2 linked regions of the Mus musculus genome follow. The protein of the gene in region 2 interacts with the protein of the main gene of each other region in a biochemical or structural test. Links are inferred from orthologs where the notes say so. Each region holds a gene or a part of one and is shown on either strand. Other genes may lie near its edges.

The links.
Region 1: the proteins of Ahr (region 2) and Nr2f1 form a complex in vitro, tested with the Homo sapiens proteins (2 studies listed by BioGRID). The link is inferred for Mus musculus from reciprocal best matches to the Homo sapiens genes AHR and NR2F1.

Annotation. Positions count from the first base shown.
Region 1 is NC_000079.6:78,189,203-78,206,042, forward strand, and holds the start of Nr2f1 (COUP transcription factor 1), read right to left. Parts: upstream 9,672-16,840; 5' UTR 9,372-9,671; coding exon 8,918-9,371; exon of another isoform or gene 8,002-8,917; intron 7,248-8,001; exon of another isoform or gene 7,153-7,247; coding exon of another isoform or gene 7,140-7,152; intron 6,966-7,139; exon of another isoform or gene 6,900-6,965; intron 6,488-6,899; coding exon 5,960-6,487; intron 812-5,959; coding exon 531-811; 3' UTR 1-530. UniProt on the Homo sapiens protein: Coup (chicken ovalbumin upstream promoter) transcription factor binds to the ovalbumin promoter and, in conjunction with another protein (S300-II) stimulates initiation of transcription. Binds to both direct repeats and palindromes of the 5'-AGGTCA-3' motif.
Region 2 is NC_000078.6:35,492,327-35,508,229, forward strand, and holds the end of Ahr (aryl hydrocarbon receptor), read right to left. Parts: coding exon 15,804-15,903; intron 15,204-15,803; coding exon 15,094-15,203; intron 14,061-15,093; coding exon 13,919-14,060; intron 12,651-13,918; coding exon 11,387-12,650; intron 8,375-11,386; coding exon 8,363-8,374; 3' UTR 5,653-8,362; downstream 1-5,652. UniProt on the Homo sapiens protein: Ligand-activated transcription factor that enables cells to adapt to changing conditions by sensing compounds from the environment, diet, microbiome and cellular metabolism, and which plays important roles in development, immunity and cancer.

The sequences.
Region 1 (16,840 bases), on a different chromosome or scaffold from region 2:
CCTAATTCTTGTTCATTTTTGTTTATGCGCATACGATGTTTAAATTTTACAAAAAATGAAAATAAACACTAGTATTTTACAAAATGAATAACAATGTTCAGTGTATGTTTCTACATAGGATTCAGTCCACTTCCATATGAGTAGTTTTCTGTACAGAATATATCCACATCCATCCACAATAAATCCTGGAAGGTCCATCTATTTTATTAAATTTCTCATGGTCCTCTCTTCCAAATCGTTCTTTTTTTTTTTTTTTTTTTCATTTTCTCACCAGACACGAGGTCCTTTTTCTTTCCTTTCCAATGTACTTACAGATCAGATCCTAAATGAGTCTCCTTTTCTCCTGGTTTGCAGCTCAGGTTGCATTCCTGCAGAGTGGGCTGCTCTTGTTCCCAGCCCTCCTCCCGTCTGCCTGGCCTGCCTGGTCCATCATACCAGCATCCCCAAAGGCTTTTTAGTCCTTGGTCAGGGAGAGTCCTCTTAGTCTCTAGGGAGTCAGGGAGCAGGATTGGGTGGGAAACACCCAAAGTCTAGGAACACTGGATGGACATGTAAGGCCAGTTGAAACTGCTCCCTGACAGCAACATATCTCGGATGAGAGTTTCGATGGGAGTTTTACCTACCAAACGTACGAAGAAGAGTTGCTCGATGACAGAGGAGGACACTGTGCGAAGAGAGGGCAATCGCAGCAGCAGTTTGCCAAAGCGGCTGGGCTGGTTGGGGTACTGGCTTCTCACATACTCCTCCAGGGCACACTGTGATTTCTCCTGCAGGCTTTCGATGTGGGCAGCATCCGACAGGCCACAAGCATCTGCCAGAGCAGCCACAGGAGGGAGAGACAGGGAAAGGGGACAGATTGTTAGGTGAGTGAGATGGAAAGGCATACACACCATTAATATTTTGAGGGGAAAAGGAAAAAGAAATAGAAGAAAAGGAAAATAACTCCTTCCCTCCATGCCTCTTTGCCATCCTCTTTCCCACCCCCTACACAAATAACAATAAATCCAAGCCTCACCATGCTTGGGAGACCAGGAGAGAGGTGCACATGCACAGAGGTGCAACCTGGCCATAGCTTTGTTTCCCCTCTTTCACCTTTGGATTAAATAATGCATGATGGTGAATCCATGTTTGCTGTGTACTGCGACCTGTTCTCTCCTTCAGGGGAGCACATTTCTGGTTGTGCTCATTAAAAGGAAAGCATTTGCCCCTTTCCTGCTTGATTTTGGGGTGCTTGGAACCCCTGAAGAAATATACAGCCTTGGAAACAGTTTTTAAAGGCTTCTTCGAGTCTCCCCCCACCCCCGCCAACCCCCAACCCAGCTGACCCCAACCAGCAAGCTCAAGGAGAACCTAGATTGTGTAGTGAATACACGTGGCAGGGGATCGGGGATCACAAGCTGGCAGAACCGAGAACCAGATCAAGCCTGTGCTATACCAATATAGAATTGGAGATCAACTATATATGCAGGACAGAGCCCTGCAACAAATCCTCCTCGGTGAGAGTGGACACTTCTATCTTTCTTAGATCATGTAATTGAAAATTGGTCACATCTCTGTAAGCTGTATAATAACCAGGAGGAATATGGCTCAGTTACTCCAGGCTGCAGAAGGGAACATCTTCAGCAATCAGACACAAAGCTAGGCAGCTGAGGCTTCTGTCTCAGAACTGGGGTGTAGGGAATTGGGAGGCATGTGGTGGTGGGGAGACAGGATTCCTACAGCAGGGGCCAAGGGAGAAGCACACAAGGCACTTTATACAATAATGGCAACTGAAAACCTTTGTGGTTATTTCAAACCAACCAAAGTTCTTTTGGGTCATCTAAAAATACTTCAAGACAGCAGATTATCCTATATCCACTAACCAGGGCCAAGCAAAGGGAGAGGAGCGTGGAATCAGAGAAACAGTGGCCCTTCTCCCTCATTTCCTATGTTACTTCTTAATACAAGTAAGATGTATTTTAAAAACAGGAAGATCACAGAGGAACCCTTAGCCAGTCAGGAGGTTGGCTAGAGATCAAAGACAGCGCTTGCTAATATATACATCTGGGAAGGAATTTATGTATGACAACACCTGTAACAGAACATTGTATAATGGGGAAGTGTGACCCTAAGAAAACAACAAATTATTCAAAGCGAAATCTATGTCTGCTGTTTCCATTTTGTGTATCAGTCCAAGAACTAGGCTTCACAAAGCACTCTGCCACCTTCATCTACAAGGGTATGGCCTTAAGCAAATATTTAAATAAAACTGGTGATATAATTCAAGAACTTCAGAGGCAAGTCTCCTTTGACCCCAGGTCCAGACTGGGTTCCTCTCAGATGTCTAATTACTGCATCCAGCTGGTGCAGTGCATCCACACTGGTCTGAGTTGGGATGCCAGGGATTATTATGGCCAGCAAGACCAGGACAGGAGCACATCTTTGAGGCATTAGTACATAGATAGGGGACTCTTAGGTCAGCCCTTGGACCCATTTTCTAGCCTAAACTTGCTGAATGGCCATCACACAGACTTGTGTGTGATGTATTTACATATATCTTGCACTGCATACATTTTCTGTCCCTCACACCAAGGGGATAGTCTTAGCCACACACAACACAATATGAGAAAGACAACATGAGATGTTCCCTTAAATATCTATATGACATCTTCTTAAATCAGTAAAACATCAGGACCCCTGGAGTAAGTCACTTCCTCATTCTTTAAACAACTCCAAAGAGAAGTCTAGACAGGTACACTTTGGCCCTACACTGGCTGCTTTCAGGCCCTTCTACCTTTGAAATGGAATGCCTGAGACTGAGGCTGCCCCTTCAAGTACCAGTCACCTATCCCTGGTGGTCTTTATCATCCCAGTCACCTATGCCCATGGCCTTTATCATTGTGAGTCCTAGTTCAGGCCCACCTCCACACACTACTTAATCATTCCCCCCCAGTAGCAGGATTCTCCCATCTGTAGACAGACAGAATGAGTGTTTGAATCAATTGGTGGGTTGTGATGGTAAAGAGAGGTGAGCAAAGGGTGTAATTTAGTACATATTTGCCCCCATGGATTATACTCCAGATAAGAAAAGGAGACAGAACATAGAAAACCCATGTCTCACTTTTTATATGGTATTGTCAATGTGAGAACCTTTAATATTTCTTCTACAGTATAAGGAGAAGAAATTATGTAAATAAATAACCATTACTGCTCAGGCCCTCCCGGTTTAGCCTTTGTAGAGCAGAGAATATATTTCATGTTGTGCATTCAGAAGAGTTTAGTGTTCAGGAAATATAGATGTAATCAGCTGCCATAACTAGAAATCAAAGTTATTCTTGTGCAGAAAATGGATTTATTGTATTTATGTTAACTAGATGGTTCTTTTCAGAGCCAGTCTCATTTATTTGAAGGGATATTTAGGTGTATGAATTAAAGAATTTTTTTTCAAAGTAAGTTCAGGTCATGACCTAGTCTTTGGATGATGTCCAGAATATTAAGGATTAAACACACCATCCGGAGGCCAAATGTGAAAACCACCACGGGGGATGCTCATGCCAGCTTCAAATACTTAGCCAGAGCAAGCCATATTGGACAATATGTCTAAAACTGTCTTTTCCATCATTCAAAGTTTTCTTAAAAGTTGGATGGCGTAGGGAAGGCTTCCCGTGAATTCTCTTCTTCCAATGAAGTCCCTTCTGGCTAGCAATCAAAACAAGTTTAGTCAAAAGTGGAAATGTGCTGTATGGAAGGGGGTGGGTGAAGGGGGGTGAATTACTACTGATAGGTTTATTTCCATTTTCAGATATTCTGTCTGCGATTTTCCAACAAAATAATGTTACTATTCATGTCTCAGCATCCCTTGCACCTTGGAGACTTGGTTCAAAAAAACTCCTTTGGAAAACTTTTTTTTTTTTTAAGTGAAGGGACTTTTCACAGGAATGTTTTAGGATGGAAAGTTTAAAAGTGAAGGTGCATAATTCCACAATGTTCCCTGCAGCCCACACAATCCTAGGCCTGCCTTCCCCCACTCTCTTTCTCTGGGAAATGGCACAAGACCAGCAAAGTAAAGGGTATTTGGAGAACTTTAGGCGCATAAGGAAAAGAGAAGGGAGACCTTTGCTGAGAAAACCTCTGTACAATTCCCCGGCACACACTTCTGCTTTAAGATACTTCACTGGGTGGGATTTTACAACCCTAGCTTCTCCACACTGGCTCCCTTCCTGGTGGATTTGGCTAAACGATGGGTAGGAGTGCACCAGCCAGGCCTGGGCCTGCCAGAGTCAAAGGACCCTGCTCACTGCTTCCCAGGCTCTTTGTCACTTTTGAAAAACACATTTCCATCAAGAAGACTTGTTAAGATAAAATGCATTCAAAGTCGGAGGAAGCTATTCAATAAATCTTCCATTTGTTTTAAGTTTTGCACTTAAAACCCTTGCAAAGAATGACTCTCTCTCTCACAAGCAGACCTGCATTTGCACTGAAAGTAAAAGGGGAGGGGGCAAGTCCAAGGCTCTAGCCACCTTGCATACAAATGAGCTGCTCTTATCTAAATAAATTATCTGCTGCTCAGATCGATATTAATACTACATTTGCTACATTACAATATTGTGCAAATTTTAGTGTCATTTTAATACAATGTAAATATGACTCTCCATGCATGGAAGTCGAAAAATCTTGATAGATTATCCCACTGCTTCCTGTTTTAACAAGGCCTTGGGAAAAAGAGTTTTGCCATCTCCACTCATGAATGGTTTTAATTTGGCTTTTGGAGGGCCTGACTAGGATAGATTTATTAGAATGGTTTATTTGTTCTCCTAATCTAGGAATTAAAAACAATAGTGTCAATAACGGTGGTAAAATTGCAACTAACCTTGCTTATAGTGAGCAAAGCCCAAGATCCATCTAAGCAGCTCTGCCCAAGCAGAGTTCTTTCTGGCTTTGTTTGTATTTCCTTGTTACCTGCTGTCCCTAGTGTGTATATAGTTCCCTCTTGTAGGTTCCAATAATAAAAAGCGGATAGTGTTCTCACAGGCTTAGACCAGAGCCCTTCAAAGGCAACGTTAATGCACTTTCCTGGAAGTTAATTTGAACCATCTATCATAAGAGAGATTGTTAACATGCATGCTACCACCGCCTACACTTAATTTGATATTTTAAGGCATCCTTTTAAATTTCTAGTGTTTGTGTGTTTGCATAGCTATGAAATTTATCTCCCGGCCCGGAGTGCTCTCATGCTTGCGGGTTTTACAGTATTGCTTTTGTTTTTTATCTTTCTTGTTTAGATCGAATCCGTTTTTTATGACCCTCAATAACCTCAGCAACTGCAAACATGAATGGTTTCCGATAAGGGAAAATCAAGCAGCAATAAAGCGAGATTATTTATGATTTATTTGTGCGTATTCTTCCCTTTCCGCCTCTGTCTGTGTCTCTCTGTCGGGAAACTCATCCAAGGAGTGTGCCACACAGACTAGGAAGCCACCTTCCCACGTTCTCTTCTTCCTTCTGTATCGTTCCTCCCACAGAAACACCGAGCTCTTGTACACACACACACACACACACACACACACACACACTCACACGCGCGCGCGCACACACACACACACACACACACGCACACGCACACGCACACGCACACAGAGAGTTCACACACAGAAGCTAGACGATCCACAATGCCCTGCCTCCCTAGACACACAGTCGCCTCACTCTCGGGGCGCGCTGGGTCCAGGCCATCCATCAGGCCAGGCCGCTGGCCTCACTGAGCTTCCTCCGCTCCAAGCACCACTACGCTCCCAAGATGGCAGCGGCGCGGTCGGCGACAACCACATACCCGGGCTGCAGACCCTGGGCAGGCCCAAGGTGGCTTGAGCGCCCGGCCTCACAGCGACAGCGGCGGTGCGGGAGCTGCAGGATGCCAGGGACTCGCCTCGCCATGCCCACCAGCTCCCCGCACAGTCTGCCCTCCTCGCGACCGCATCCTCACCTGACGTGAATAGCACGATGGCTTTGAGGCAGCTGTACTCGGCAGAGTCGACGTGCAGCGCCTTGAGCTTCTCCACCTGTTCCTGAAAGATGCGGATGTGGTCCATGAAGGCCACGACGCGGTCCGCGGACATGGGCGAGGCGTGCAGGCCGGCTGCGGCCAGCAGCGGCGCCACGTGCAGGGGCATGGAGCACTGGGCCGCGTTGAGCACGAACAGCTCGCTCCAGGTGAGGCGCAGCAGAGACACCTGGTCCGTGATCTGCAGATCCGGGAAGAACGGGATGTTGCGGGCCCACTCGACGGCGCTGAAGAGGAGGCGGGCTGCCAGCTCGCAGATGTTCTCGATGCCCATGATGTTGTTGGGCTGCATGCACTGGCTGCCATAACGCGACGTGGGGTAGGGCTCTGCGCGCAGCAGCAGAGAAATGTAGCCAGACAGGTAGCAGTGGCCATTGAGAGGATCCCCGTTTGTGAGTGCATACTGGCCTGGATTGGGCTGGGTTGGAGGCATTCTTCCTCGCTGAACCGCTGATAAAAAGAAAGAGAGAAAAGAGGCAATGTGCATCCAGGGGGGCTTGTGAACATCGCCGAGCCGCAGCGCGCACCCAACGCACTGTGGTTCTTTCCTGCAGTCACTCGCTCCCGAAGCATCTTCTCCTGCTTGCTGGGTCTTACTCACAGATCACACTGCTAGGAGATCTAGGGTGAAGTCATCTACCTTCACCGGCTCCGTGTGTCCATCCATAGTCTGCATCCCTGGCTATTTTAGCTAGAGAAGAAGAACTAGGCCTGACTGCAAGGCCCCTAGCTCAGGATGGCTAAGAAAGTACCACCCAACCTCCCAGCTACTAAGAAGCAACACAGATATAAATGAAATCCTTTCAGAATGATACAAATCAAAGTTTCTCTTTTAAAAATGAAACCTGAGAAAGCCACAAACCTTAGAGTACTCTTCACTTGTAAACAAGCAGCAAGTGTATAAAATGTTCCCATAATCTCTAAAGTGCTACAGAATAATTTTTAAAAGATACAAGTTATATATATATATCTTACTGAGTTGGACTACCAGCAAGCATAACACACACCTCCTCCCATCTTCCCTCCTCCAGACTGCCCCATACAAATTTCTCACTATTAAAAGAAACAGAAAATTAAAAAATTTCAAAGAAGTTGAACTTACAGTAGCCAAACATATTGAAAAAAAGTAGGAACTACAATTAATGTCTGTCCTGTGCGATGCCACTGCAACCTGCAGCCAGCTTTGCCCAGTGAATGCGCGAGCTTGCAACTGCAAAAACACTGGATTCATTACCCATCTGAATGCAAAACGTAAGCATGCATTGAGTTCTTAAAGCTGACCAAAGTTTTTTTTTTTTTTTTTTAAATGTGTATGTTTTACTTCAACAGTGCCAGCATTTTCAATTGCCATGTAAACAAAGACAACTCTAGGGAAAGTTAGGGCTACTGAACTGCCATCCCCCAACAAATTAGTAGAGCGAGGTCCATGTCCACAGAGCTGTCCTACCTCAGGCTCTACATCATTTTCTTTGGTTCTAATTCCAACAAGAGTTTCAGTGCGGTTTACGCTCTTTGAAACACAATGGTTAGAATACTTTTTCTAATTATAGTTTTGAACTTGGCAGTTATTTTTCAATTAAATGAGAGCACAATTCAAAGTTTTTTTGTTTTTTTTTGTTTTTTGTTTTTTTTTTTTTCAGATGCCTAAACAATCTCCCTGGAGCTAGCAATGGAGTCGTCATATTTGCCTTCTCCTTGAGATCTGAAGGAATTCAATTTCTTTTCTTGTGGCATATAAAATATAATTTTGAAGTCAATTACAAGAAGAAGTAATCTATGTTCTTCGAAATTGACTGGTTCACTAATTTGACTATAAGATATGTTTAATGATTGCCAGGAGATAAACTTTAACTATAAACCGCTAAATATATTTGTAAGAAAAGTGTTCCATCTCATGCCACATGAATATGAAGCATATCCAAATTAAACATCAAAAGTTGTGCTTAATAAAAAAAAAATCTCACACATCGATTAAATGATGCAGAAGCTCAAGCCAGCTGCAGTCTGTGCATTATAGCCAGATCAGAAGGATCGGTAAATGCCGTTGTAAATTGTAATTTGTATGCAGTATTTAAGCAGAGGGTGGAGTTTGATGAAGAAATAAAACGAGTATCAAGCTTTAAAAATGACACTACTATGAAAGCAGGGTTCAGTCACAAACTTTCCTTTCAAAGTATAGGGGTGAAAACAAGGCCACAGCTCGGGAGGAGGCGGCCCCAGATCCCTGAAGAGGAGAGGGAGCCAGTGAACAGGCCAGAAGCCCCCCTTCCCCCCTAATTAGACCTACAAGTGCAATAAATCTCACTCCTCTTTTTCCAAGCTAAGCTTCCTAAAGGATGGTGGCAGCAATGAATCTATGGTTCAGGGTCCTCCAGCCCCAGTCCTCTCCCATTATAAATAAAAGGTACGATGAGGCAGAGGAGAAAGTAGAATGGGAAAAACAAAAAAAACCAAAAAACAAAAACACACACGGAGAGAAACGGTTTTCTGCAGAAAATCATCACCCCTCCCAAGTTCATGCTAGCACAGCCCCAAGCATCCTCACACACAAGCGGGAACGAGACACACACGGAGCACATCCAACAGAGGAAGGGAGGGATTTTTAAGCTACAGCTCACGATCCCAGGGACACAATCTTGAGCAGGCAGCGGGCGGGGTGGAGGAGCCGGGGAGAGGAGCGCAGGGCGGGAGGGGGAGGCAGCGGCAGCGAGCTGGGGGGGGGGGGACGCTGGGGGAGGAAAGCAGCGAAGACTGGGAAGCCCGGACCGGCTGGGACCACAGAAGCCCCATCCCCACAGCCACAGGCACCAAGGCGAGAGAGAAAGAAAGAGCAGGGAGGCGGGCGAAGCGCAGGGAGAGAAGCAGAGAAGAAATATTCACCTTCCCGCCTCATGCCCACTTTGAGGCACTTCTTGAGGCGGCAGTATTGGCACTGGTTGCGGTGGTGCTGGTCGATGGGACAGTTCCTGTTGGCACGGCATGTGTAAGTTAAGTTCCTGCGGACGCTCCTCTTGAAGAAACTTTTGCAGCCCTCGCAGGTGAATTGGCCGTAGTGCTTGCCGCTCGACTTGTCCCCGCACACCACGCACTCGATGTGCTGCTGGCTCTGGCCTGAACCGGGCGGGCCCTGGCCCTTGTCCCCTGCCGTGCCGGGGGTGGCGGGCGCTCCGGGCTGGCCCGGGGTCTGCGGCGTGTGCGGCGCGCCGGAGCCCGCCTGCTGCTGCTCGCCGCCGCCGCCGCCGCGGGCTGCCTGCGCTGCGGGGTTGGGGCCGCCGGGGTTGCCCCCGGCCACGTCGTCCTGCGGATCTCGCCAGCTGCTAACTACCATTGCCATATCTTTGGGCCCAGGGAGCGCTGGGGGGAGCCGAGCTGCTCGCCGAGGGCCGCGGGGCGCGCGGGCGCGCTGGGAGGGGAAGGGGAAGGGGAAGGGGGGAGGGGGAGGGGGCGGGGGGCCCACCGGGCGCCCCGGGGTCGCCGGAGCCGAGCCCGAGCCGGGCACCGGCCTCTGCCTGCGCCGCCGCCGCCGCCGCCGCCGTTACTGCCTCAGCCGCCCCGCTGCTGCTGCGCGCCCGCCCGCCCTGCTGGCGTTTTGTTGTGGTTCCTGCTGTTTTCTTTCTCTCTTTTTGCAGCCCCCCCAGGCTCTCAGGCTCCCCCCCCCCAACACCCCTGCTCCCCTCGCCCGCTCCCCCCGCACTCCGTTCCTGGGGGGGCCTCTCTCTCTCTCCCCCCTCCCCACCCCCCAGCGAGCGAGCTCCCTTCTCTCGCTTTTTTCTTCTTCCCCAACTTGCAAAATCAGAAATGGCACAGGCGGCAGCCGGGAGCGGCGCGGGGCGCAGCGCCGGGGGCGGCGGGCATGGGCCACGGCGCGCGCACACTCTCGCCCTCCGCCTCGCCCGCACCCCCGCGCACACACACACTCGCACACACACTCGCTCACCCGCGCCGGGCGCCCGCCCGCCCGCCCGCCCGCCCGCTGGCCGCTGGCCGCTGGGGCTACGCGCAGAGCGCGGGCTGAGCCGACATAGAGGAAGCGGCGAGGGCGGCGGCGGCCGCGGAGGAGGAGGTCGCGGCTGCAGACGCTGCTGGAGGAGCTGGCCGCCGCTGCGTGCTCCGCTGGAGGAGCCCGGGCCCGGGCGGGAGTCCGAGCCGGAGTCGGGGCCGCAGCCCGAGAGCGAGCCGAGGCCGGTGCTGCCCGTGCCGCCGCCGCTGTCCTGGCGGGAGCCCTCGCCCGGTTTCAAGAGTGCGGGGAGCTGGGAGAGTCGAGCAGGATCGGGACGAAGCTGCCGGCGAGGATCAGGGCGCTCGGGTGTCTGGGGGCCAGGTCCAGGGCCGGACGCAGCCAGCCATTCAGGAAGGCAGCGCTGGAGAGCGGGAGGCAGCCGGCGAGGAAGATCACACACTTTGCTCTTTTTGTTGTGCGGGTGGCGCCGGGTTCTCTCTGCCTTCTTCTTTCGGGAGGTGACGGAAGGGGGAGAAAAATACGAGATAATTCACGCCAGCGACGAATTCACAGCGAAATAGGAAAAAAATAAAAATCAGAAGAAAATGCTTGAGAAAATAAGGAAAAAGAGAAAGCGAGAGAGACATCCAAAGTAGGTCGAATAAATAATCCTCTTCTTTTCCTCTTTCTTGCTTCTTCTGCTTCTTCTGCTATAACACACAGAGCTAGTTAAAAAACCCTGGAGATCGCCCAAAAATGTTCTTTTTTTAGTATTTTAAATAAGTGCTCTTCAGCTGGGAACCAACACCCTCCCTCCAAAAAAAATCATATATATATATATATATATACATACATATATATATATAATAACGATAAGAAGAATACTGAGGGGTGCCTCCTCCTCCTTTTTTTTTCAAGTTTAGTCTTCTCTCTTCTAGAGGAAAGGAGTGAAAGAGAAAAGGAGGGAGAGAAAGAGGAAGGGCGACAACTAGTAGAATATGTAAGGAAAAGAAAGGGGGAGAGATAGGGCAAGAGGAGAGTGGGTGAGAGAAAGGAGAGGAGGGAGAGAGGGGCGAGAGGAGAGGAGAGGAGAGGAGAGGAGAGGAGAGGAGAGGAGAGGAGAGGAGAGGAGAGGAGAGGAGAGGAGAGGAGAGGAGAGGGACCAAAAAATTGAATGCGTTTAAACGGGAGGACACTCAGAGCAATGTTTCCGAAAGGGGGATCTGCGCGAATGTCTGTATATAGTGAACTTTGACACTACTATTGAAACTGACACGTTTCTATGGAGATCTCTGCCTTATATGGAGCTCGTGTCAAGGAGCCAAGAGAAGGGCTGCTGGCAACTGATAATCAAAGGCGACTGACTGGTCAGAGCCCTGAATGGGGGGTGGGGGGGGGGAGAGAAAATGGGAGGCTAAGGTTAGCCAAGCCTCCTTCACGCCATTGGTTGGAAAGTCCTTTTCCCCTCCCCCCAGCTACCTACAGTCTGGGATGTCGAGGGGAGGAGAAGAGAAAGTGAGGGGGGGGGTGCTTCTGACAAGCATAATTTACATTGAGATCGCCCTGCGCTGCTATTTACTCTGAGACCTGATTAGTATGGGTCGTGTATGGTCACACACACACACACACACACACACACACACACACACACACGAGGGGAAAGGGATGATGAGGGGAGAACGCGTTGTGATGGGAAAAAACGAGGAGAAAGAAATTACTGTATATCTTATGAAAACTTTTCAGAATTAGGTTTTATGAGCGTAAGGAGTGGCACTGAAAACGTTAAGAAAAAAATTAATGAGGAAAAAAACTCCATCATTTTAATGATTTGTGAAGTCTACTTGGTTTAGAATCTTAGTTCACATTCAATATAATCTTAGTCTGTATCCCGCTCATTTTATATAATTATGAAAAGCCTCCTCATTTAAAAATCTGAAGTATATCATAGTTTCGGAGGCGTAATTACGACAAAGCACACACATGAAACTGCAGCTACTGCCACAAATTCGATCCGAATCGATGATTCCTATTCATCCCAAAGATGATCTTAAAATAAACTTTCCAATCAATCCTCTTTTTCCTTTTTCATCATTTTTATTCCCAGGATGCTCAAACTCCAAACAATGCTTCAATGATTATTAATAAAGCATTTGTAACTCCTCATATTGTTGTGGGGCGGCTGTTAGTGCGGACAAGTCAGTCACAGGAAAAGAGCAAACGAACGAACGAGAAGACGGGGAAGAGGGAGAGGGGAGGAGGGGAGGGGACGAGAAGTGGGAAACGGAGGGGGAGGGGGAGGGGGAGAGGAGGAGGAGGAGGAGGAGGAGGAAGAGACTGAGTCTCTCACTCGCTGTGTGGTGGTGGTGGTGGTGGTGGTGGTGGTGGTGGTGGTGGTGGTGGTGGTGGTGGTGTGTGTGTGTGTGTGTGTGTGTGTGTGTGTGTGTGTGTTGGGGTGTGTGTGACTGAGACCCCATTCCCGAAGGTGATTGGTCGCAAAAGGAGGGGTAGGCAGGAGGAGCGGGTCCCGCCGCGGGCCTTGCAGGAATCGCTAGGTCGGCCTGCCACCTAGCGGACGGGAGCCGCTCTCAGGCGGCACGCAGCCGAGTCCCTCCTCCCCTCCTCATTGGCAACCAGTGCCTTTTCTCCAAACCAAGACAGCACTTTGAAAATTCTTTCAATGGAATTTTTTTTTCCTTGAAAGATGGTACTGGGGAAAACGATACTTCTATTAGTTACATATTCTCCAATCCCACACTCGCAACCCCCCTCGTTTTAAGATCGCTCTCATCCGCAGGCTCAGGCAGGCACAGGGCGGCAGAGTGACAAAGCCACGGCTGCCTCCACCCGAAGTGGGAGTGGGAGTGAGAGTCCCTCTTACCAGCCCTCAACTAGGGAGAGCGTAAAAGTTTGTCTCAAGCGTTCCGAGCGCCCCAAGGTAAAGGTGGAAGTAAATGGCCAAGTTGTATGGAAAGAGGTAGGGTTTGGCTATTAATACTGGTTCCCACTTTAAATCTCACTAGTGAGGGCTTTAGAAAGCGCTGAGTGTTTGGGGCACGCTTTGCGCTTTTTGGTCTCTGGGATCTACCACTTAGTGGCCAGTGATATATATTTTTTTTAAAGAGCAGAATAAAGACTTTCTTATGTATGCCCTTCTATTTGGAATAATGGAGACTGCATTCTGCGTGCTGCGGCCCATTGTACGCAGATGATGGAGAGGCGGGACATGGGGTGGCAGGGGCTCCTGGCCTTAGCCTCTCAGCCCTAATATTCGTGATCAAGTCTTCCGGTTCGTTTAAAGGTGAAATTGATATGATAAAAAAAAGGAGGGAAGGAAGGGAGGGGGGAGGGAGGGAGGGAGGGAGGGAGGAAGGAAGGAAGGAAGGAAGGAAGGAAGGAAGGAAAGAGGAGAGAGAGAGCGTGTGCGCGCTGTTTATATAGAAATTCTAAATTTTACTCCCCAAACAATCAGAGACAGGGAGTAGTGAGCAGCGGAACGCAGCAGAGAAAGGGAGGCTGGGGGAGGGAAGAGTCACAAAACAGTGGGAGAGGAAGCAAAAAGCAAGCGTCCGGGAACCGGAGGCCTGCTGGGTGCGGGGTCTGCATGCCTAGTCTCCCTCGGACTCTGGGCTGTACACGGTGGGCACCAGAAGTGAGACTCGGCCAAGCCCTGCCGTACCAGGCAAGTAACGCAAAGATAATCGTGTGTGTGTGTGTGTGTGTGTGTGTGTGTGTGTGTGTGTGTGTTTTGAAACTTGGGGTCTGTAATCTTCGATAACGTGGCTAGGTAGAAAGGCAATCGTTACTCGTCCTCGCCAGCCTAGATAAACAGTCAAGGCAGCCCAGGTAGGACCCGGAGAACTTTCGTCCGGGCCTGGAAGGTACGCCTCCTTGGAGGAGAGGATCCTTGCCAGCCCATCAGTCCAAACCCAAAACAGGTCCTCTCACTAACCTCTCCCACCCGGAGCGGGAAACGCTACGTGGGCAGGGGACCCGAGATTGCATCAAGTTTAGCTTCCGCGCGGCCAGCCTGCAGCTTGCAGAGATGGAGAAGCCGTGGAGCCCGCCGGCCTCGGCACCTGTGCCTAGCCGCGCCGCAGACAGGACTTCGCGAGTCGCGCTCAGTCGCCAGCCTGAGGTCGCCCCGAATAAAATAAGGCAATCGATGGCTGCCCGTTTGATGTGGGCGATAGTGTCAGCGGATTAAAGGGGACAGCGGTTCTCCAAAGCACAGAACCTCGGTGGCCGTGCAGAGCTGTGAGGTAGAGTAGAGCTAGATTCTACTCGCTGGGCTAGGCGGGCTGGGGGCGGGGAGGGGGTCGCCTCCCAGGAGTGGGAACCGAGGTTGTGTGTGTGAAAGGAAGAGCTTCAATTAAAACCAACAGGAACGCTCACCCACCCCACCCCCCACCTTCCCTGCGCCTGGCAGGGGCGCGCGTTTGCGTCAGAGGGCGCGCAGGGCGGGCTCGCTAGGAACGGGTGGGGGTGGGGAACGGACACGCGGGACCGCGCCCGGGGGCTGGGTGGGCTCTTGAATGAGTCAGCCCTGCCTGGAAGGGCTAGTCGGGGGTCAAGTCCCGCAACAAAGCTGCTGGGCCAGCCGAGACTCAGCGGGAGAGATGGCGTCCACACATCCTCACTGTGGCTTCTCCTTCCTGGGTTCCTACCCCGCCCCAAGCTTCCAAACTTGCAAAAAGGCCTCTGGGACTTAGATTGACCCCTAGAGTGAAGAAGTCTGCCTCTCCAGGCCTTGGGCGAAGCAGCCGGCTCCTCTGAAAAGAGATTGCAATTCTCAGTCTTAGCTCTAGGAGCAGGGATGGGATGCTGTTTGTTGGTGCTGCACACAGCAGGGGAAGCCTCAGGCTTTCCGAAAGGGGAATTGGTTGTGCACTTTTGAGTCAAGTGTCCCAGTCTCTTGTGATGGGGATAGCATGAAGCAGAGACTTTTTGAAGAGGGCCTTACCCACCCATGGGACTCGGTCTACTTAGGACTCTATCTCCTGGGATTCTGTGTTGCTCAGAGCAATTGCACACCCACATGTGTTCACAGTCCTGCCTCTACCAAAATGGCTTCCCTAGAGATCCAGAGGTCAGCTCAAGTCTTGTGGAGCTTTGGCTTTGTTTCTTAAAGCTGTGGTTTGTCACCAGCTATACTCGTCACTGGTCCTAATATCTGTTGTTGGATAGGTAGTTCATCTAAGAGAAAATGCTCGAATTTTTCCAAGGGCACCAGAGATCTCAAACTGAATTCCCACACACGCTCAGCTGCTGGACTAGGAAAAGCAGTTGCAATTTTCACCCTTTCCTCTTCTGTTTTCTTTTCTGAATTTCTTCCCTTCTCCCTATCCACTCTGTTTGCCTCGCACCAGTCAGAGCCCTGGGAAAGTTAAATTGAGTTTGAAAGTGGCAACTGGACCAGACTGTGGCCCTAACCTTAGCACTGTATGAGTCTTGTTAGTGCAGGCAGAGAGCAGGGGCATGGTGCTCTGACTTCTCCAGGAGCCTTGTGGGAAGACCAGGGGAATACCTCAGATCCATAGCCTTCTTTTTTATAATTTTCCTCTACTTTCCTAGTTCCCACAGACCTGTTCAACACACAGGGTCCAGTGCAAAAAAGAAAGTGCTCGGGTGGAGGAATTAAGCTGTGAATTTACTATATTCTTTATGAGCTTCTAGCATCGTGGTTGGCTGTTAATCACCTTTTAAAAAAGCTTGCCACACAACACTTGATCCCTCAGCTAGGCATCTGGTAAATAGCTGGTGGGAGAAGGGAGAATCTGAGGGGAGGGCAGTCTGTGGCTTTCCATATGCTAGGAACTCATGATCCAAGCCCCAGAGTCTGAATGTAAATGGTCTCTTTACCCAATTTACATAGCTTTTTAAATACAATTTTTAACAGGGTAGGAAGAAGGCTAACCTATTCTTCACTAATCCTTTGGTCTCTTTCACATTTGCAGTTTGCTTTATAGAATGACACCAGATCATGCATTTTAGGTTATTGTTAAGTCACACTGAAAAAAAAAGTAGCTTTGTAAAGACATTTCATAAATCTAGCTAAAGAGACACTGAAACCTACCAATGGTCATATTACAGAAAATTCTCTGGTACACCACTTCCATACCCTTAAGTCGTTCAAACAGTATTATTCTGTTTAGAGAAACCACAGGACAGAAATAGCACCCTTCTCAAGCTCATGTGGAGTGATGAACAAGCTTGCAAACTCTGAGAGAAAGGTCAGGTCCTCTGATCTTGATACAGATTTTCCCCAGAGAGCTTGTTTTAAAGGTATCAAAACAATTAGTCTCCCTTGGCATGAGATTAAAGCCAGGGAGAATACAGTTAAAGAAGATGCATTTAACATGATAGTGAACAGATCTTTGAGGGAACAGTGAATGGGTACAGGATTGCCAGCCAAGAGCCTCAGGCTAGATCCTAAATCTCTCCCCCAGTCCCAAGATTGAACTCAGTCAGCATGATAGCTGACCAACTGTAAAAAATATGACTATGTCAACATGTAAGCCAGAGTGGAAAGGGCAGTTTAGGATGTGGGCTTCTGCTGGCCTGAGTAGGGCAACCTAACTGCCCATAGGCTTCAATGAGGCCCAGAACTTGCAGGCTTCCATACCCACTGTTATTCTGGTAGTCTAGGCTTTTCTTCTTTGTCACCTTTGAGTAAAACAAGCTCAGAGATAAGAACTTCAACTTAGTGTTTTAGTTGTCCAACTCAAACCAAGACATTTATAAAACACATTTTGGAAAAAGATAAGAGAGATGCCTCCATTGTTCCTGAGCTTCAGGTTAGAGGGCCCAGGATTAACAACCTTAGGGGTGGGAGGACAGATAGCAGGAGAATAAGGCAAGAGCTG
Region 2 (15,903 bases):
GTTGTTCTCCTTGTGCCCTGATCTGGTTTTAAGCCTTTTCATGTTCCAAATAAAAGAGAAAGCTACTTGTATTTTGATGGAGAGAAAAATGTTCTTTTCCTAGTTCTACCAATAAAAACAAAAGCATATGGGTCTTATCTGAAAGGTTTAAATGTGATCGTTACAGTAAACAGTCATGTGTCTCAAGCCACTTTTCACACAGACTCTCTGAAAACTTAAGGCTTAAAATGTCTTAAAAACAAAGTTAGTGAAATTTTCTGCAGATGGCCAACACAGCATAGCTGAATGATGAAGAGTATTTTGATAATCAAGTTTGAGAAAGAAAAAGAAACCTTGGGGCTATATTTACAGATGATCTGGAACACAGGCCATAGCAAGTACTTCAGGTGTGGGAAGAATGTTAAGGTCTTCACAAGGAGAAAAACTTGTTTGGGAGATGGAGGCAGAGGAGAACAAATTCCCATGCCTGTGAGTGCTGGTGGGGGCATGGTGCATTCCTGTAAGATAGGAAGATACAGCCGATGTGTTACATCTGAAGATGCAGACTCCGAGTCACAAGGAAACACAAGAATGAGCCTGTGACTTCTCCCCACAAGCCAGACTTTGTTAATGCACTTTCTTTGGAACACTAGCTAAATGAGAAAGGTTTTGTGAAAACAGTTCTGGAGTCAAGTTGGAAACACACTACACAGCAATTGTTTGGAAAATTACTATATACATTAGCACATTAAAGATGTTTAGCCAATGTCTTCATTGGGGTTTTACTGCTGGGAACAGACACCATGACCAAGGCAACTCTTATAAGGGACAACATTTAATTGGGGCTGGCTTATAGGTTCAGAGATTCAGTCCAGTATCATCAAATTGGGAACATAGCAGCATCCAAGCTGGCATTATGCAGGAGGAACTAAGAGTTCTACATCTTCATCTGGAGGCTGCTAGCAGAATACTGACTTTCAGGCAGCTAGGATGAGGGTTTTAAAGCCCACACCTACAGTGACACACCTACTCAAGATCACACCTACTCCAACAGGGCCACACCTTCTAATAGTGCCACTCCCTGGGCTGAGTATACACAAACCATAACAGCAAAGGAATCTGATCAATTTCTTATCTGCCCAGGTTTTCTCTGACCTCCCTGTTGACATCTCACTCGACTCACGTTTGGAAACAGAACTTTAGAAACCACTTTGTAGATAGATTCTGAAGACAGTGACTCAAAATGTGGTTGAGATTAAAGTCACCAAGACATGTCATTATGAAGAATGTCAGGGCAAGCAAAACAGTGGACATTAACACAAAGCTCTTGCACACTCTTCAGCCTAAAGAGTATTCTTTTACATTTACCCCAGACAAATATTAAATGGAAGGAAGGAGTCCCCAGCATCCCCCAAACCTACTGAAAGTTTACAAACCGAAAGCAGCAGAGTCGCCTCGATGTGGGCGCTTCTTTCTAAACTATGACGTCTGTTAGTAATCTCCTGTTTGAAATACACTTTTATTTTTGTATCTTTGAATACTTTTATTTACTTTTATTCATGTCTCAGCATAATGTACCATGTTCGTTCCCAAGGCCAACCTTCCTTCTCACTTCCCTGGGGCTCCTTTAATAGTCCCTCCTCTCATGTTTAAGTCCATTTTATAATTTAATAACCTACTGAGTCTGGTTAGCAATCCAACGGCCATGGGCAACCTCCCAGCAACCATATCCCTAAAGAAAAAAGACTGCTCTTCCATGAGTCCCCACCAGCAGCTACTCAGCTAGAGGTGACGCTTGAGCCCCGTGCATGCTGCCCTGCTGACTGGCTTGATCTTGTGCAGGTGGCCACAGCTGCTAGGAGCTCACAAACACAGTATCCAGCATGTTAAGCAGACAGCACTACACCACACTTCTTCCCATCTTCTAGCTCTCCCATCCTTTCTGTCCTTTATTTGGGATGTTGCCTGAACCCTGGAGAAGGGGATGCACGCGCATGCCCTTTGATAATTCAAGGGACATAAATAATTTATTATCCAAATGTTCTAACACTCTTGTTTTAAACTGAGAAATTCCAGTCTCTTTCAATGTTCATTCTGCAGTTCAGGTCTCTTTGTTGATAATACTCAGAAAGTTTATGAGTGTTCTTTGTGCAGAGGCACAGACTGGTTTCTAGATGAACGCAGGAAAAGCATGCCTGGTTTGAATACTCAGTGGGGTATCCTTAACTCCACACTTTATTTGAATCAAGAACAGATACCTGAAACTTTCCGAGGTAGCCAAGATCTGTTTTTAACACTTTTTTTTTTATATTAAAAAGAGCACTTCAGTTAAACATTAGCTTTCATTGTAGCCTCTTGTCCATCTGATAGAGGGCTCATTCCTTGATATGCACAAGAAAACCTGAGCTGGATCTAGTGTAAAATCTAGTGTAGAGGGGAACTCTAAAAGCATGTATTTGACTCAGTGGTTCAAATCTGACTGTGTCCTAGCACAGACACCCACTCTGAAATCAAGCAGCATGCACTAAAGGTTTGTATTTTGTGGCTCTGTTACCCATGGTCAACCATGGCTTCAAAACACTAAATAGAAAACTGCTGGACAATCAACTCTCCGTATTGTATAATAATCAAACTAGATCCAATATGAGTTGAAAACTCTGTGCACAGAAGGCGTTGCACAAATATCAGGCAAGGTGTTTGTAATGGACAGTATTTTAACAGCTTTGTGGCTTTTTCTCATTTAATGGGCTTCCCTTGAACCCTATAAAGTGATAATATCCTGAGAGAAGTTTGAAAAAAGTACTCTTTCTACCCTCAAAATAGGTGTGTTAATTTTAATGAAAAGAACTACTTGACAATGTATACACAGCAGTGCGGGTATAATGTCTAGCCCACTTCAGGAAAGCCGTTTTTCTTCTAGGAATCAGGCCAATTTGTATGGTGATTTGCAACCAGTAGACACATTATTAAGACACTTCCTTAGAAACATATGTGAGGCTGTGAGCAACACACACATTTCCTGATTCCCAACATGAGGCAAACATCTGGAGAAAGCAAGACTGCAGTGTGCTCTTCCACATGTCCTTGCACCGAGGCAAGTTTGGAGCCAACCAGGCACCAGTGTGTCACTCATAAAGTAGACTCTCTTTTTCTTGGTCCAGAGGGACTTAAAGGTGGGAGGAGCCATAGGAATGGTGCCAAGCCCTCCTGGCTGTTCTCTGAGCTGCAGCCTGGGAGAATGCTCAGAACAACACTTCGTATAGAAAGATGTGCAAACGGAGATCTTTCCACTCCAGAAGCATCATTCCTTAAAATCTAAACATTTGTGCTGATTTCTAATGGCTACAATAATGAATTACTGCATTAATTGGCATAGGACAATACAAGTATCTCATATATATATTTTTTTAAAGTATAGAATAGAGTTTATTTAGGGCATGGGGAGGGGAGCTAAGAGGGTAGTAGAGGCAGAAAAAGTCAGAGAGAGAGGGAGAATAGAGAAATAGAGGCCAGCAATGGGCACATGGAGAGTTGGGGGAGGGGAGGGGGAGATGGGCAAGAGGACAGACAGGGAGCAGGAAGGCAAGAGCCCAAATATCTTCTTAATAGAACTAGAGCAGAAATTCTCAACCTTCCTCATGCTGTAGTCCTTTAACCTAGTTCCTCATGCTGTGGTGTCCCCCAACCAGATTTTCATTACTACTTCATGACTGTATTTTTATTGTTATGAATTCATAATGTAAGCATTTAATATGCAAGATATGACTTCCTTGAAAGGGTTGTCCTTCAACCCTCAAAGGGGTCACAATCCACAGGTTGAAAACCCTAAACTAGAGGATGCTTGCTACTCTGGAATCAAGACATCGGAAGACATTACTTCCTTCCCTTTTCTAGCTTCTTGGCCCTTCTTGCATTATCACCATAGTGTCTTCAAATCCTTCTGCTGTCCTCCGTTCTGTTCTCCCTCCCTTCTGACTCTCCAACCTTCCTCTTGCAAGAACTTTTTGATGATTGCACTGAGCCTCCCCAGTAATCCAGGGCAGCCCCTGTGTCAGCCTTCTCTTAAGAGAGAAGGAATAAGCTGTGGTTTCCATGATTTTCGTCCATGGTTTCTTGGCCATGTTACTGCCCAGCACATTTTGAAGGAACTAAGGTAAAAGAGTTTTGCTCACTTTACTGGACTCAGGAAATACAGAAAAAGAGGGGAAGGGTTTGGTCTCAAAATCTCTTCTCAGGATACACCCTTGGTGTCCAGTATCCTCCCATGGTATACTATTATTTAAAGGCTCCATCCCCTCTCAATAGATCATAAGCTAGTGGCCAAGCCTCCAACAAGAGATATAGAGGACATTTTCGATCCAATCTATAGCATCTTGTCATTTCTAGGTCCTGGACTGTACAGTAACATCTACAGAATGTCCCTTGCCACCAAATTAACATACACATGGGTTCTTAAAAAATACAAACTATTCTGTGTATAACCATTTGAAGATTTCAGTTGCTTTTTAAAAATATAGTTTAGTCCTTTATAAAAATGGAATAATTAAATTGACCTCATGGGATGTAAATGAGATAAACTAAATGATGCATCAGGTGGAATGGGAAGATAGAGCAATGCACTTGTGCAGGGACAGTCAGCTGCTCTGCCCTGTATCAGTCAGTGTACTTTGTTCCCTCCAGATCACCTAAACAAACGATGTGAGGTCACTTTAAATCTTTGGTCTCAGTTTCTTCATCTCTAAGTGTGTAATTTTTTATGAATCGTTTTTCCATCTTTATGTGCTGTTATTTGGAAGTCACGTATCTTACACTCAAAGAGGTGATGAAGGGCACTCATAGTGAGCTCAACCTTGAGGGTATTCCTCACAAAGGCAAGAGCTGTAGAATGGATGAGCGTATAAAGAACCAAAACCAGAACCAAGATTTAACAAGATTGGAGATGAAAAGAGGGTGCGAGTGGAGGCTGCAGAGCTGAAAGGGCTGAGGAGACGGTGTGAGGGGATAAGTATCTTTAACTGTGAAGTACAAAGAAGATGGGTGTTTACCTCAAGGTCTTGAAACCTCTCCTCCTATATACTCCAGGAAAGGTGAAGTCTAGGAATGGTAGTATTGAAGAGATGAAGGTACAGAGAAGCACTGGGAAGTTGGAAGCAAGATCATCTGCAGAGTGTTAAGACAGAAATCATAACTACCAGCCACTTCCTTGGAGTAGCCAACACCCTTGCGTTAGCAGTCTTGGTACGATGTGGTAAACTGGAATCATTTGTAATTAAGGAAGCCATTGGACTGAGTGTGCACAGAGATCAGAATGAATACATGATTGTAGTCATGTATTCAGTGATATACAGTAAGAGATGTGATGTAGACTGTTCTGATGTGCACATATCACATCACAAGAGTGAACATCAGTGGTGTGGTACACTGTACAACTTTACTGTCTTGTGTGGCTGCCAACATAATCACACTAGTGGCTGGGGACTACAGATCACTTGTCAGCTTGAGTTTGCTCAGATCAAATAGCTCAAACAGAGAATTTAAGTAACCCTTTCATGAAAGACTTGGTGTATTGGTCTTTCTATAAAGACTACTTTTGCCTAACCATCATATAATGGTACAGGGCTCTGTTTTCTCTATAGAGACAGAAAGAAAAACTTGCATGAAAACACTATTTATATTTGGTGGTTAGTTTATTATCATATATCACTGTTTACATTTCCTTTGATATTTAAGGACATTATAAATCATACTTTAACAAAAATCTATGCATGGCATATGTAAGCAAGTAACAGTTTAAAGGACAGCAAGGAGCTATGTAGACCTAAGATCTATTGATACTCAAACTAGCTTGTGCATAGTAACAATTGAAAAGTTGATACACTGGCATATTGGTTAAGTGTTCAGGTGCTGTAAGAAACACCTAGAAAAGAAGAACTTCAATCAGACATACACAAGAGTCTTAGAATTTCATCTAGAAGTTAATCCCTCAGTCTAGTGGTGCTCTAAGTGGTCTTTCCATTTGGCACTTGGCAATACAGACAAACAAATAGGCAGTTTAATGTGATTTTATTATTCTTAGATGTTTTAGCTATTTTTATATAGATAAGAACACACAATATTGTTTTTAAGACTTTCAGTTTGATAAGTGTGTAATTAAATGCCACCATACTCTCAGTGTCCAAAGTTGTCTTCTTTTTTTTAACTGAATATTTGGTAACATGCAGAAGAGACTGACAAAATGGTTTCTATGACAACTTTTAATGAAAAGTTTACATAGAAAAGTGGGATACTAATTCAGACCACCAGTCTAAATCCTTGGTGACACCTCATGCTGGAAAAAAATTGTGAAATGTTTTAGACAGTTGTTTTTCAATGCTTAATCCTAGAGATTCAGAATTTTGACTGAAAATGCATAGAAGAGATCTTTTTCCCAAAGGCATGTTTACATACATTAATTTTCTAAAAGAAAAAAAGAAGAGTCAACATTTCAGTGGATCTCAACCTTTCTAATGCTGTGACCCTTGAATACAGTTGCTCAGGACCCCAACCATAAAATTATTTTCATTGCTACTTTAAAACTGTAATTTCCCTACTGTTATAAATTGTGATGCAAATATCTGTGTTTTCCAATGGTCTTAGGGGACCCCTGTGAAAGGGTCAGTCTATCTCCCACGGGAGCCACAGAGCACAGGTTGAGAACCACTTCTGGATTTGAATACATCTCAGTTTGGGATCTCATCAGCTTTTTATATAACATATGAAAAACAGATCCAGGACCACATCCTTCATATATCATATCTAAGCAAGAACAGAGACAATGGCAGACACCAGCATTTTTTCTTTAAGCCGTTTGAGAACAGTGCATTTGGCAGAGTGACACATTTGCCATATTGGCAGCAAAGGGTGTATCACATAAACAACTTAAGGTATGGAGGTGAACAAATTGTATTTATCTTTATCTTAATGCCAACGTAAAAGCTTCAATTTACTACTTGATTTCTTTACAAGATACACTGAAAAAATGCATATGAGGTAAGAACTATTCTTAAATGAAAACTGCGAATATTTTACAGATTATTTTGTTCGTTATGTTTATACAATGCACCATTCATTTCAGTCATTAAAACACCTTGCACCTGACATGGCATCTTCCATCTTAACACTCCTCAAATATGAGAAAAATGAATAGCTTCCACTAGTATAAGAAGTGGAATTTATAAAGTCAATATCACAAACAGGATTACAGACAGTTTTTCAAAGATAATTTAGACAGAGTGAAATGAGTGCTCTGCTTAATATAGCTAACAGGCTTGACACACGCCACCTCCCCTCACTGCAGCGTAGTGGACATAGGCACCTTTAGCACTTTCTACGGTGGCCTTCTGATCTCATCGTGGAGGTTTCTGGGAAACCTTCAGCAGCAGCGTTATCTCACGTCTCAGAAAACACGGTTAAAATACAAGTGCTACTCTCTAATAGTATGTAATAATTAAATAATTTGGGCAACATGTTATTTTTCAAATTTTTCAACATAAGGCACAGAGGAACATCTAACGGCCAGAAGCAGGTATATTACACAATAAATAGTGGACTTTGAGTTATCAATTACTCTTTATCTGAAGGAAAGGATGAGTAGTGCACACACACAGCGGGGTCATAGAAAGGTTGGGATTCGGGAAACTTTCTTTGTGCAGAAAGAATATTAATTCAAAAAAGATAAAAAATATTTCATATAAAATACATACCCTATTGTGTTACAGGTAGATAGAAAAAAAGAAAAAAATCAGAAAACAACAACAACAACAACAAAAAGTGAGGCACTTATATTAACAGTGCAGAAAGAAAGCATTGAGATTTTCTTTTGAGAAAAGCACCAAACCATTTACTTTAACTTCTGGGACAAAAACAGAGGTTAAAAAATATAGGAAATCGGTTAGTCCTGTAACTCCGTATTTGGTATACTAACAAGAATCCAGAAGTTCAAAGCTCCAAATACCTCCCTGTTTTTCCTGCTGAAGTTACTGAGCAGGGAACCCGAGAATTTTTCACAGTAAACACTGTGCACTCTGAGGTGCCTGAACTCCTCCCATGTGCTCCGTCCGAGCTCTCCCATCGTATAGGGAGCATCTCAGGTACGGGTTTTAAACTCCTTCTCTAAACACAAGAATCGAAATCTGTTTTGGAGAAAGTGTACTGATGTCCAACCCTCACAGTTCTGGTATCCTGTTCCTGAATGAATTTCATCCTGGCATGGGAGCTACAGGAATCCACCGGGTGTGATATCGGGAAGAGGCCGGGCTTCCGCCAGGTGATGGAGATGGCCAGTGGTCTGAGCAGCGTGGCCAATGCTGCTCAAGTCGGACGAATAGGTTTCATTGAAAACACCTCAACTCTGCACCTGAGAACAAACACAGCACAGCAGCTTGTTAGGATCTGAGGAAGACCTTAAAAACGACTTTTAGTCTGTTAGACCTATGGGTTGTTTCACTTTACAGTCCTGTACTGATGATGCTCATGGCTAAGTCTTTCGTCATTCAAATCACACAGAGGAAACGCTCACACACTGACTTCTTTTGGAAGATCAGGTTTTCTCATTAGTCCTACAAGATAATTTAAAGATGGTACAGCGAACGCTACAACTATCTCACTTCGTCTGCCTTGGGGCCTGATGGGAAATTATGTGACATGGGGTGTCAAAGGGTTATTCAGTCCTGCCACAACCAATCAAAAACCTGGAGGCAGTGAACTGATTCTATCCGAACTTCTACACAGCATTTCAGACACCAGCACTTTTGCCCAGATCTGGATTTTAAATGTTTCTTGCTATTCTTGCAATGTTACACTACAGGTATGATCTTAATCCAATTTATTTGTAAAATGTGTTTAATAAATTGTTCTGCAAGTTACCAAATAAAAAAGATGCTTGGTTAGCTAGTTGCATCAGAGAGGAATTTCTCAATTGAGAAAAGATCAAACTGTAGCCCCAGCACGGGCTGAAGGCTTTTTTTAAAAACAAACAAACAAAACCAATTTTTTAAAGAGAATGGTTATTTCAAAGAGATTGAACTTTTAATGTGCTCACATTTGTAAAGACTGTGGGACTTTTAAAGTCATTTATGTTTTATATTGTGGTAGTAATATTAATGTGCTATCTTGGGGATAAATGCGAAAGGAAAGGTTCTGTCTGAAAAATGTTTTGTGTCAGGTTGACAAGGAGTCAGTTGTTTGGCTAGTTTTATGTCAACTTGACTCGGCTAAGGTCACTGAGGGGAGACAGCCTCAATTGAGAAAATGCCTCCACTAATCTGGCTGTAGGCAGGCAAGCCTGTAGGGCATTTTCTTAATTAGTGATTGATGTAGGCTCAGCCTATTGTGTGGCTCTATAAGAAAGCAGGCTGAGCAAGCAATAGAAGGCAATCCAGTAGAAAGTACTCTGCCATGGCCTCTGCATGAGCTTCTGCCTCCAGGTTCCTGCCCTGCTTGAGGTCCTGACCCTACTGCTTTTGATGATGACCTGTTATGTGGAGCTGTGAGTGATTTAAACTCTTTCTTCTCAGACAGCTTTTGGTCACGCTGTTTCCTCACACCCTAACTAAGACACCTGCCTTCTTACCAGTCTCATATCCAGAACTGCTAAAACAGTGAAGAACGAATATAACAGTTATAGTCTACAGAAACTTCACATTGTGGTGTAGTTGATGAAATAAACTGAGATTAAAATAAAAATCATAAAATTATCCCTTTAGTTGCCTCAAATTACTCACTTCTTGTGTAGTGCTGGAGGTCCAGTGAAGGGCCTTGTGCATGCTAACCCGGCTCGACCACTGAGCTAGCTATACTCTTGACCTTTTGTTCTGTGTCTCACCATTTTCCAGACTGTCTTCAAATTCACTCTACAGCCCCAACACCAGGCATGAGAAAAACCCTTTTGAGTTGCTGCTCAGGGTTGTCCTACAGGTAATATACAGACTGTGCAGGTTGTATTTAAATATTTAGGAACACACACACACACAGAGCAATGAAAGAAAAGAGGCCAAGAAACTGAAAGAGAGCAAACATGGTAGATGGGAAAGGTTGTAGAAAAAAAAGGGAAACAGAAAAGGAATACAATTATGGTTCATTTCAAAAATAATAAATTAAGAATAAAATATTATGTGTATAGTTGTTTTGCCTGCATGATGTATGTTTGTATGTATACACACACACACACACACACACACACACACACACACACACACACGTGCATGTGCAACACAAGTATGCAGTGCTCAAGGGTGCAGAGAGAGCACTGGGTGCCTGGAAGTGGAAACTGTGGACTGTTCTGAGCTCCCATGTGGGTGCTGGGGATCAAGAAGGGTAAGCAAATGTTAATTGCCAAGCCATCTCTCCAGGCTAGAAATGTTGTTATTTTTTTCACTGCCGCACAATTACTCATATGAACAGGTTACAATGTGACATTTCAATTCATCTATATAGTGTGTAAGCAAATCAGGCAATTATCTTTCACTGTGAACACTCATCTGTTATTTGCATGAAGAACCTTTGATTTCCTTTTTTTCTAGTGATTTTGAATCATGCAATGAACTGTTGTGAACTTCTGTCATCCTGCTATGTTGTAGAAGAGCCGAAGTTACTCCCACTATCTGTCTGTTACTACCCAATAGCCAGCCCCACTCTGCGGCCATTTCCAGCATCTGAGGGATCAGCCTTGGAGGTTTGCACACATGGATGCTCTCTATATTCTATAATGTCCTTCAGACACACCGCTTTGAGGCAAATACTAATATTCTATTCTTTTATGAGTAAATTATATCCAAAGTATGGTTAATCCATTTTCTTTATAATAACTATTAAAAATTTTTAGGAAATCTTTTTCCTAAAAATTTTCAGGAAAAAGATTGACCAAAACTATCATCTTCATTCTCCATTCAAAAAAAAAAAAGTCCCATACAATCAGACACAGCAGATTCACTCACAATCTAAAAAGCAACCAGGACTGTGATTTAAGCCACACTTTTAAATGGCTATACTCAAACAGCTCATGAATAGTTACTTAATAAACTTCATGTTAGTCAAGATATTCTTACAATCTAAACCAGTATATCTTCAAATAAGCTAATATTTGTAAAGAGAAATTTATTAATATAAGCATGATATCCTCCTGAGGGGGTAACAAAGAACAGTTATTAAATTATCTAAACATCAACTTGCTTTTAAGAAAATTATTTAAAATAATTTATTATTCATACTATTTTAAGTAAACTATAATGAAGTTAATTACGTGACCATAAATATAACGAAAGCAGTTCCGAAGTTGCTTGCTATCTAAAATGGGTTATGATGATATGTTTAAGTGTAATACAGAGATGCTTAGGCCTACAAGGTTTTTTCAGCTGTCGAAAGCCCTTACCTTGCTTAGGAATGCCTGAGAACCTGGAATTTCAGAGCTGTACTGCGTCTGGTCCACAGGGGTGCGCTGTGGCCCTGGCTGGCACTGATACATGGACATGGCCCCAGCATAGTATGCCTGAGGACTGACCATGGCGGACTGTGAGTTTATCCCATGACTTTGGTTTTCAGGAACTTGTAAACAACTGACAAAATCTAAATTAGAAGTAGTGGGATGCAGGGACGGTTCAAAATCCCTTCCAGGGAAGTCCAACTGCACACTCTTGGAATGTTCTGGAAGCAGAGGCTGATTACAGGGAGCAAAGTTCTGTGTGTAAGGCACACTGTCCACCTCTGGTTTGTAGGGAAATTCCTGAGCAGTCCCCTGTAAGCTGGAAAAGAGCTGATAGTGCTTTAGTTCCTGCTGGGGACAGTTGAAAGACACGGGAGGGGTGGGGTTCCAACTTGCAAACGTGCCGTTGATTTGCGTGTGCTTCGGACCCAGATCTTGCTGGGGGCACACCATCTGACACAGCTGCTGCTGGGGCTCCAGAGCCTGCGGCGGGGGCTGCTGAAGCTGTTGCTGTTGCTCTAGTTGCAGGCGCTCCTGCAGCATACAGCTTAGGTGCTGAGTCACAGGCTGCTGCTGGCAAGCCGAGTTCAGCAAAGTTGAATTGTTCAGGGAATCCTGCACGTAGGTCAGGATTTCGTCCGTTATGTCGATGTCTTTGAAGTCAACCTCACCAGCAGCGGTGGAGTCAGTTCTGAAGAACTCCTCGTTCTGCATGCTTCTGATATCTTCAAAATCAATCCCAAGGTTCCTCATGATGCTGTACAAGTCATTATTTTTATTATCCGGAAAGAGCTCTGAGGGGCCGCCAGAGAGTGCAAGGTTCACGTCCTGAGCATGGCCAATTTGCTCATGTTTCAGCGCAGCCTCACTTCCTGCGGCCGCAAAGCTGTCTTGCCAACTCCCGCACTTGCTCACGGAGCCCATGAGAAAATGGCTGTCTAACAGCGCAGGGCTTGAAGGAGGACACAGATAGATGGACTCATCCTGCTGGATGAGGGCACTCATAAGAGAACTGGGGTGGAAAGAATCCTTACTTGGGGTTGACTGGGGAGCCCAGTCTTTCCTGCTAGTGTTGCTTTTGGTGCGTATTGGTAGGGGATCCATTATGGGAGAGAAAGGGCTGGAGATCTCGTACAACACAGCCTCTCCGGTAGCAAACATGAAGGGCAGCGACGTACTTCGCTTCTGTAAATGCTCTCGTCCTTCTTCATCCCTAACAGGGTAGGCAAGAAGGTCTGAATACATTAGAGTTTGATCATACATGATTTAAGTAAGATATTTCTAAAAGGAAGAAAAGGTAAAACGCACTAAAGCTGAGCTTGATAGCAAGGAACATGGATTTTATTTTGAACTAAATTATTCTCATGACTAGTGTTATGCAAGTGGAGTGAAAACTATATAGGAAAAACATATAAATACCAAAATAGAAATATACCTAAATAAAATAATAACTAGGAGACATAAATGGAATACAAAAGAAATGGACAACAGCAAATCAATAAATGAAATGTCTACGCCTGGAAGACACTGGTGACATCAGAGGTCTGTCAGCTGTAACAATCAATGGTTTTATGAAGCATACATCCCCTATGGGTAATATAAACATTCACTATGGTTATGGGTTAATGACTCAGTTCTGTGCAAATGTTAATTCTTTCTTGAAAGAGTTATGTCTTCAAAATCCCAACAGTGTTTTTTGTTGTTGTTGTTGTTGGGGATTTAGTCTTTAATAAATGAGTTTTAAAGTACATTTGGAAACATAAAGAGTAAAGAAGAGCCAAGACAATTATGAACGAGAACAAAATGTATCCAAAAACAACAACAAAAAAAGACATGTATTCACAATATAAAGATAGCACAATTAGGGCTGTGTGATGACCCATAAGGCAACAGCAGTGGACAGCCAGCAGCTCTAGAAATGGCAGTGACCGGCCAGCAGCTCTAGAAATGGCAGTGACCAGCCCATAGCTCTAGAAACAGGACCACATATAGAAGCCTGACAGGCAGTGCAGTGCTCAGACTCTGTCAAGGGTTTGTCTCCTTAACAAATTCTGTTGGCTAACTTGATAGTCAAAAGGAAGGAGAAAACCAGTCAGGATGCTTAGCTCTACCTAACTCCTAAAAAGCAATTAATATTTCACCAAAGATTCCTTTCTGGAATCTGTGAAAAGCTTCCAAATTGCTGTGAACCTACTGTAAACAAGTGCTATAGTTTTCCTTTTATTTTTGAGATGACATTGTCTTTCATCTCCTCAACTGCAGGATGAGTTGGGCATTTTTAGCTTCATCTACTTAGCTGCTTGATAAAGCTTATCACTTTTGTCTTTTTTTTTCAACATTTTTCATCTTTGTCCTGCTCTTTCTAGATAATTTTTCCATTTTTAGTTACAGGTTCCATTGCCTTAGGATTCTTTTTCAACTTTCATGTAAGAAGACTTATGAAAACACAAACGCAGGACATGTTCTTTTTCTGATGCTTACGTCAGTGGTCTCTGAGTGGCGATGATGTAATCTGGTCTTCCATTTCTGTAAATCAAGCGTGCATTGGACTGGACCCACCTCCAGCGACTGTGTTTTGCAAGAAGCCGGAAAACTGTCATGCCACTTTCTCCAGTCTTAATCACTACAAGTAAACATTTACAACAAGGTCACCAAACCCTCCATCAGTACAGTACAATACAGTACAGTACAGTACATCCCTGCAACCAAGTGCCGCTGTGGGGCTAAGGTGAGGCTCACTTGCTGGCTACAGGAACTTGATGCTCTTGCAAAAGACCTGAGTTTGTTTCCCAGTGGGCACACTGGGTGACTCACTACCTCCAGTAAACAAGTCCCAGGGAACCTGATGTCCTCTCCTGGCACCCAAGTTCACCTGTACTGGTGCTCGCAAACTCCCACACAGACAAATGTACATACACAATTAAAACATAAAAACAAATATCTTTTTAAAAGCCATCTTGACATATTTCCATATGAATTCCATTAACCACCAGCTGTGACAATATCTTGAAAACTTTTAAACACACTAAACACACTGAAAGGCACAGAAATGGTTCCTCGGAGTCTGTGCTTTTCCATTTTAGATAAGGCTTAATATGTAAAAGGTTAAGAGAAATACTGAGAGCATGTCAGGTGTAAGAAGAGGTTAGCTTGGAGGAGAAGTAAACATATTCATGTTAAATGAGGAATATTTTTAGTATTTCCCGATTTTATATTAACATATATGCATGGTGCCTTTAAAGACTTCCTGAGCAAAAATCCACTGGCCAACATAGTTACTTTCATAATAATCATATTGTAACCATTACTGCATAGCAGCTGTAGAGGAATTAGAAGTAAAAAGCAAAACTGGTTAACCAAGGCAGCATGACTCCAACGGGATGGATCCAAGTAGTTCTCAGATGATGTCATCACACACAACACTTTGAAATGTGTATCACAGTGCTGGGAGATGCCTCCGTGGCTATAGGTGCTTGCCACCAAGCCTGACTAACTGAGGTTGATCCTAGGGACGCACAAAGGCAAAGAGAATTCCCTCCTACAGGTTGGCTCCTGGCCCCCACATGCACACACAGGAATCAAAGGATTTTTAAAAAGCTTAATATGTTCTAATACATGTGCCGTATATCAGGCGGGTCACAAGAATTCCAACTCACTGCGGATGTGGGATTCTGCACAGTGAAGTATGTCTGCAGCATGGATGAACTGGTACCCCGATCCTCTTGTGCACAGCTCTACTTCTGTATAGCCCAGAATAAGCTGCCCTCTGTTCAAATAAAAGAATCAGATTGTAAAATAATCAAGAAACATTCACTGGTGGTATGCGATTTCCACAACATTCAAAATGTTCACATTAGTATATAGAAAACATCCTTTTAGTTTTTTTTTTAAATTTTCTTGCTTATGGCTACTAATTTTCAATTTTAGTCTTTTTTCTTAACTTTGAATAAGGCCATTAATATTAAGAAGGTCAAAAATGAATCTGGCATAGTTAACTTAAACGTAAAATGAATTCAAAAGCTAAAAACATGGCTGGCTCAGACTGTACTTTAGAGACAGGGTCTGTCATTTATTCTAAAAGGTGGGAAAATTAAAATGCTTTTATATAAATTCTTTTTAGTTAACTAATTAACTTTAGATGGTTATCTAATCTCTGAAGCTAAAAATTAAGAAATATTTTTACAAAATGTAAAATAAACCATGTGCAGTAAATAATACAAAACAGTCAGATTATTTGTCAAATTGATTAACTGACCCTATAGTAGTAACATTAGAACCTATACCACATCTCACACACTTACAAATCTGCTAAAATAAAAAAGATGCATTAATTCTTGAAGAATTATGAGTGAAAAAGTTCCCTTACTTGGCATCACAACCAATAGGTGTGAAGTCTAGCTTGTGTTTGGTCCTGAAGATGAAGTTTTTGGTTCGAATTTCCAGGATGGAGGGTGGCTGAAGTGGAG